2 linked regions of the Xenopus tropicalis genome follow. The protein of the gene in region 1 interacts with the protein of each later gene in a pairwise test. Links are inferred from orthologs where the notes say so. Each region holds a gene or a part of one and is shown on either strand. Other genes may lie near its edges.

Region 1 (3,651 bases):
GTTTTCACATTCATTTTTTTTCTTCAAGATCTGAATCGTGCAAAAAGTGCTGGCATTCAGCCAAATTCTAACACAATTTTTAAATTTATATATCTTACATATTACATGTTTAAAACTACTATAACTGGTTTCTTTTGCCTTATTAAGTTATCTATATTAATCTCTCTACATAATTTAACATAATCATGTAAAAGACTCAAACCCCTACAGCACTGGCAACGAAGAATTTCTCAACCAATGGAGTGTCAATAGTCTGTTATAGAGAGTGACAGTACTGCTGCTTAAAGGAAACTATACCCCCAAACAATGTAGGTCTCTATAATATATTGCATAAACAAGCTCATATATAAAACCCTGCTTCATCTACATAAGCCATTTTCATAAAAATATACTTATTTAGTAGTATGTGCTATTGGGTAATCCTAAATAGAAAATTGCCATTTTAAGAATTAAGGGCCACCCCCTCGGATCATAGGATTCACAGTGCACACAAACAAGCCAAGGGACACATACATGCTAGGCCCCATCAGCCAATTAATGGACAGAGTTCTGCCTTTTACTCCCACACTACTTCCTGTTACAGTTAGAGCTGCATTATTTCCTGTTGGATGATCTCTGAGGGAGCACACAGCCCATCACTAAATGGTGGCTCAAGGGAAAGGATGTAAAAGGGCAGTATTTACTGATATATATATTCCAGTTTGGCGAGATTCTTTAATAAGTCACTCAGCATAATATAAACTGTTAGTTAATTATTCATTCTGGGGGTATAGTTTTCCTTATTCTTTCTCTGTTTGCATTGAAAGATAGTTAAACTAAAACAGTTTCAAAATTTGAGTAAAGCCATTCTGTTTTAAAAATGACATGATTTTCAGGAAAACAATCCGAGAGAGTATGTCTTTAATATACATATTACATACTGTTTTACATACTATTAAGTGTAAAGTTATTGTGGTGAGAAATCAGTTTCCTAAAACAATTACGTGGATAAACAGACTGCACACAAAGCTCTTCAGCTAAAGCATTTCATGCTGGCCAAGCATACTTCAACCAGATGCAGCCTCAGGTCTCTAGGTCTGACATTCATTTATTAAATAAAATACTGGACAACTGCTAGATTTTCCTTATTGCATTTATAATACTAATATAATGTAAATATTCTTATTCCTATCTCTTTCCCTACAGCCTCCTGGCTGCCATTGCAGCCCCATTTGGACCTAGCATGCATGTAGTATCCTGGGATACACCTTGTGATAGACAGATGGCTCTCAGCCTTAGTCCGGTAATCAAACTTACTTTCTCTTTGTAACAAAAGGATATTTCTCAAAACCCAGAGAGTGCTAAGATACAAGTGCACTCTTCACATTATATACCTGCTGAGTAAGACTGAGGCCCAAGTGGTAGTGGCATGTTTGGAAAATCTTTGACTGCCTAAATGACATATTCCTTTAGCAAAATCTCCCTGTAAATTGCTCTGATCATTCAATAGTTGATTTGTTCCCCCTTTCATGTTTTTGCTTTTCCTTCCAATATAACCAGCATTTGACATAAGACTGCCACATTCTCATTAACAGCACCAGAAGAGCCCATCAGTGCCAGCTCTGGACACTCAGAGTTCACCAAAGCTGCCAATGAAAGGGCTTCTTGCATTAAGTCCAGTGGCACGCACTCATAGACGCTCTGCCTCATGTGGAAGTGCTATTAATGCTTCTGCAGAGCCTCATCCATCTCTGGACCATACAGCAGAGCATTCTTCACCCACTGGCTCCAATGCAGAACATCGCATCATTCGTGTGCGGGTAGAGCCAGCTGAGGAGAACAGTGTGTACAAAAGTGTGAGGGTAAGCAGGCAACAGGACTCAGTATTATTTAGAAACTGCCCATACACACCATATTAACAGTGGCTCTGCTTTTACAGATCAGCAGTCAGGAAAAAGCACCTGCAGTTATTGATCGAATTCTCAGGAAACATCACATGACTCCTCAAGGGCCACAGGAACTCATCCAACTGCTGCCAGAGGGCAAAGGTTAGAGTTTCACATTTACCTCAGAGGTGAAACTGAGTTGGAGCCATATTCTGACAATTGCTGTAGAAGCATTTTGACAGTAGAAATCAGTCATTTATTTTTGTAGCAAATTTCATATATGTGGTTACACAGATATTACCCCAAATATAAGTTTAGCATGGACGCAAATGTAATTCTAAGCAACTTTCAAATATGTATAAATTAAAAATGCTCAAGGCTTTTTAAGTCATTTATAACTGTACTTGCTATTTACAGCATTAGCTGTTTCTCATTTGCAGTTATTATTATTAACACGTATTTATAAAGCACCAACATATTCAGCAGTATTGTACAGTACCCTAGAGTACACATTTAGGGGCATTTTTATTACAGTGTGTAAGCCAACATCACCAGTGATGTTGCCCATAGCAACCAGCCAGGTCTTTGCTTTGGTTTTCTAATTTGTAGGTGACTGTTAAATCCTAATTGCTGACTGGTTGCTATAGACAACATCACTAGTGATGTTGGCTTACACACTGTAATAAATATGCCATTACATACAAAATAAATTGATAATCCATGCAAAACTTAGAGGGCCTTGTTCACGGTTTATGACTTCCCATGTACTACTCAGACTAAATTTAAAATTGATACAATGTTGCAGTAGTCAGCTGTCCCCCAGCCAAGACCCAAATTCCCATAATTTCCTTGCATATTCTGTGGCTAAAATACCTGTAATGAAGGGGAATATCAGAAGTGTGCAAGGCACCATAGGAAAATTAGTTTATTTATTGTTAAGTGTACTATTTCCGTGCCTGCAGTTTTATCATACTGCTCCCCTTTGTGTTGAGGGTTTATGTCTGATTGAATAAATCATACATGAAGCCCTAGATACCCATATGGTTGTGTGCCCAGAGGGTTGCTTATCATCTCAGTTTGATTCACATACCGATACTTTGTATATATGTGATAATTCTAATTGCACAGAGTATACTCTATACCCAGTACTCCGGAGCATGCCATAGAGACAGGTTATACATTGTTTACTTTTATAGACATATAAAACACTTGTAGATCCCACATAGGTTTTATTTTTCCATATTGCCACATAGTGAACCAATTTGTTTTGGTCCATGCAAAAATAATTTATCTGCTCCTGCAGCATAAATTTTCCTCCTTCATGGATTGGTCCTTTTTCCTTTAATGACACAGCTACAGCATATGGTAATGTCATGAAATTAATATTCTGGTGTTACCGAGACTCTGTTACTGAGTTTGTACAATAACAGTTATATTATTTGTCTCATCAGAATTGGTTATTCCAGAGAAAGCAAATGTTTTCTATGCCATGAGCTCTGCAAGCTTGGATTTTCTTCTCCGTCCCCGTAAGACTGTAAGTTCAGCATCTTCTACAGACACCCAGGCACCCGCTAAAATGCTCATCAGTGCCACAATCCCTAAGGTCAAAGCAAAGGCAGGAGACCTTGCAAGAGCACTTTTCTAAAGCTCACCATGAGATTCATCTGCTCCCAAAGTAAAGAGGAATTAAAAATATACAGGAAAAAATCTTATATTGAAATCTAAACACAACAGGATCCTGTGTTACTGACTTTACCAATGACATGTCACAAGCAGACATCACACT
Region 2 (4,202 bases), on another chromosome or scaffold:
AAGCAACATGTTGCTCACCAACCCTATGAATGTTACTCCCAGTGGCCTCAAAGCCATGTGTAATGCCAAACAAACCCTCCTGTAGGATGACAGTCTACACAGGGGTTACCAAATAGGCAATCACAGACCTTATTTGGCAACCCCCAGAACATTTTCATGCTTGTGTTGCTCCCTGGCTCTTTTTACATCTGAATGTGGTACACAAGTTTGGGACCTCCACCATATACTACTGCCTAGCAATCAAACAACACAAAAAATGACTATTACCCAAAGGAAATTATTCCATACTGACATTTTTAAAATGCGCATGAACAGTAATGCCTCAATGTCTTTATATAAAGCTCCATGATTAAAGTGAAAGGACACATGGGTTTATTTTTGTAGGAAACCACCCTACAACATTTATTGAAGAGCAAAGAGTGCTTTTGTTTTCTGCTCTTTAATAAATGTTGTAGGGTGGTATCGCACAAAAAAAGTCAATGAGCTCTTTCCATTTATCTGTGGTTCTCCCTGGCTAGAAACAGCTTGGGATGATGAGCAGTAACGTGGAGTTCTGAAGGTGTTTTTTTTTTTTTTTTTTAAGGTAATTGTCACTTTAAATGATTTTAATAGCAGTTGTCACTAGATAAAATAGGCACAAACATTAAATTGTGGCAACAATTACAGAAATGCTTTATCGGTTGGTAACTCACATCACAACTTGAAGGCTTCATGAACCGGTAGTGCACAACAGGAAGCAACCATAATGCTAATCTGATGTTCTCTCTTTACTTCTCAGGCAAGAGAGCTAAATCAATAAAGCCATCTTATTACATTCCCTTTCACAAGTTTTGACTTTACTTGCTTTCACACTTCCACATGCTGTTTTTTCTGCATATGTTGCTTTACTTAAAGGGGTTGTTTACCTTTTAGGTAACTTTTTGTATTGTGTAGAGAGTAATATTCTGAGACAATTTGCATTTGGTCTTCATTTTTTATTATTTAGTTTTTTAATTATTTCAATTTTTCATTCAGCAGTTCTCCAGTTTGGAGTTTCAACAGCTGGTTGCTAGGGTCCAAATTACCTTAGCAACCAGGAAGTGGTTTGAATGAGAGACTGATATATTTATAGGAGAGGACCTGAATTGAAAGATATGTAATATAAATTAACAATTACAATTAACTGCAGCCTCACAAAGTAATAGTTTTTTGCCCACCAGGATCAGTGACCCCCATTCAAAAGCTGCAAAGAGTTAGAAGGCGGCAAATAATTAAAAAACAATAACAAATAAATAATGTAGACTGATTGAAAAGTTGCTTAGAATTGGCTTTCTATAACATACTTAAAGTTAACTTAAAGGTGAACCACCCTTTTAAGCTTTGGAAATGGTGTAATGCAGTGTCTCATTTATATCAGCATTAATAAGGGATATAACTAAACAGTTTAAAATAATATGTGGACATAAACATGACAAGTGAGATACTACTTCCTGATATAACTAGCTGCCCAACACTTTGCAAGCCTGCCCTATTGAGCTAACCAGTCAACTTAACCCTTTCCTTGCAACAGCAATACAAAGCCACACCCCAAGGCCCATTTTGTTAGTTTCATCTGTGGGGTGATTTACAAATGGATCACTCTCTATACAAGAGATATTACTCAACTCGCTTAGTGGCCAGTTTATAGGAACAGAAAACAGCATTTTTCCTTCCCCATACAGACCACAAAAGGGCTGTTCTGATGTGACTACTGCTATCTTTCCTTACGAAAGATTTAGGTGGGGGCTTAATCCTGTTCACCACATTCATAAAGAGTTTAGCTTAAACACAGTATTAACTTAAGGCTATTAACAAAAAGTAATAACATTTCAAGTGTGCATTTATTAGGAATGTTCAACACGTAACCTACATCTCTGGTTAAACTACAAGAACCAAAAATTCTTCTGCTGTTCAAGAATGTTAGTTGCAGTTTAGTGTGGGCAGTATGTTCAATAGCTGAACACAACTGTCATATCTACTGATGGATGAGGTAAAAAAAAAAAATCTTTGTCACCACCCTGCCACCCCCCACACCCAAAAGAACACACACACTTATGTGTGGGATCTAAACAGGATGTTAAGATGTGGCACAGCTATTAGATTAGCCAGTCCCTTATTAGGGTCACCCATAACCAACATCCAACGGTAAAGGCACATGAAGCCCCATTGTCAGCGCTAGCTGTAACTCATACAGTGGACAAAGCAAAGTTTGGCAAACAGCCTGCAAACCTCCACCCCTGTTCTTCACTAAATGAACACATTCAAGGTATACATTCATGGTAATATGCTGTAAATTGGTAGGACATAATAGGAATCCCAGTTTTCTGCCATAAAAGGCATTTTATAATATTTCCAAGAAGGCATGTTGATCAAGGAGCAATCACTGTGACACACTAAACCAAGATCTGTCTGCCTGCGGCTATTTCTGAACGCCAACCCCGTTCCACTGAGAGTATGCTGGGAGTTGTAGTTTATCACATTAGGATCGGTATTTAACTTGCGGATATGGGTGCTGTGACAAGCTATTATCACTTCCATGTGCATTCTGGACACTGCCACAAGTCCGCCTGCACGCCCAAGGTCCACCAAGCGGCAAGTCCGCATCACAGTGCCTACTCTACACTGCCCTCGACTAGCCAATGAGAATTTTCCGCCATTATCCGGGAATATCTAGCACCCAGCCGGCCTCGGTAGAACTGCTGCTTGGGCCGGGCCCTGACTCCTTGCCCCTCTTCCGGCCGGTCATCCAACCCTCGCCCAGCCTTTCGTTTACACAAGCCCTAGTGCCTAAGTTAATTTCCCAGTATCACTGACCCGCTGTCCTCCTTCTCCTGGATGGGCCCCGGCTCTGCCTGGGATCCCCTGCCGCCCGCTTGTCCTCCTCTGCTCGGGACACACAGCGCCACCAACCCAGCCTGGGTGAGGCTCCCAGCTCGCCCGTGACGTCACTGCGCCGCTCTCGCTCTCCGCCGTACGCGCTCCCGGCGCCTTCCAGCTAAGCGCTGACCTGGCCCTTCCCTGGCACGGGCACGCGCATCATGGCTTCTCTTACCCGAGTCCCACCGACAAACCTTTGGCTGCCCGATGTGGCCGCTGTGCAACCTGTTGTGGCCAAAGGATTGATGGGCTCCAACGAAGGCTATAAACAGTTACATTTAGAAGCTGATTTGTGCTCTGTTAATAAGGGGAACATGTTCTGCTTCTAAACACTAGATTATATTTCTATAGGTACGATAAATATATGAAAATTAGACACATGGTTTTCAGATATAATTGTAGACTTAAATTACAAGTAATACGCAGGGACGCTTTGCTGGTTGTTTATCAATGCGACACGATCGGCTGTATAGGGGTATGATATGCCACACCCACTCTGTATAAACGAGCTACTATCGGGATTATGTTTGTGTGAAGCTGCTGTGAGCGCCTGTATAGCATGACCGGGGGTGTAATTACAGTGGAAGCCGAATGTACAATTGCTGGGGCACTTACCGATGAGCTGGTTATTAGAAATGTCTTATTACCACTGTGCTGGGGCCCAGTAACATCAAATTACACCACTGTCCCTAACCAGATGGGATATAGGGTAACAAAAGGAAGAACAGTTGGAACCATACCTGTGTAACTCAGGCGTTACCTAAATTTAAAGGAGACATATTGGATATATGGGAAAAACCCTAATTTTGTAGGCAATTATGAATAATATATGGTGCTGGTTTCCCTTTGGGCTAAACATTAATCCTATCTGTAATAATGGCCCCTTTATTGGAGCTCCCTATAGATCCTATCCCTTCTCCTAACGGTCCCTGCCAGAAGCACAGTAGGAGGGGGCATAGCCAATCACAGCCCTGCAGTCACACAAGCACAGACAGGCTTCAGTTCCCTATCAGGTCAGCCTAGCTGCTGATTGGTTCCTATCCTCTGTAGTGTACTGAGATCCGCCAGCTTATCCAGAGAATTCAGCCAGCAGGAAGTGGAGCGGATGGACGGGACTAGTGGGGTTTTGGTGGAATTTCTCAATAAATCAGTCTGAAACACAACTTTTTTCAGCACATTCCTTCTATATCTAGAGCAGTATAATTTACTGGTACATTCATCATTTTTATAGGATATGTTTCCTTTAAGGTAAAAAAAAAAATTGCGGAAATTTTTTATGCATGTGTGAGTGCCTGTTAATATTATGT

The links. The genes of interacting proteins can lie anywhere in the genome.
Region 2: the proteins of rgl2 (region 1) and rap1b interact in a two-hybrid assay, tested with the Homo sapiens proteins (2 studies listed by BioGRID and IntAct). The link is inferred for Xenopus tropicalis from reciprocal best matches to the Homo sapiens genes RGL2 and RAP1B.

The regions. Positions count from the first base shown.
Region 1 is NC_030684.2:72,113,062-72,116,712, reverse strand, and holds part of rgl2 (ral guanine nucleotide dissociation stimulator-like 2), read left to right. Parts: intron 1-1,185; coding exon 1,186-1,282; intron 1,283-1,574; coding exon 1,575-1,841; intron 1,842-1,918; coding exon 1,919-2,027; intron 2,028-3,316; coding exon 3,317-3,510; 3' UTR 3,511-3,651. UniProt on the Homo sapiens protein: Probable guanine nucleotide exchange factor. Putative effector of Ras and/or Rap. Associates with the GTP-bound form of Rap 1A and H-Ras in vitro.
Region 2 is NC_030679.2:58,775,435-58,779,636, reverse strand, and holds the start of rap1b (ras-related protein Rap-1b precursor), read right to left. Parts: upstream 2,919-4,202; 5' UTR 2,833-2,918; intron 1-2,832. UniProt on the Homo sapiens protein: GTP-binding protein that possesses intrinsic GTPase activity. Contributes to the polarizing activity of KRIT1 and CDH5 in the establishment and maintenance of correct endothelial cell polarity and vascular lumen.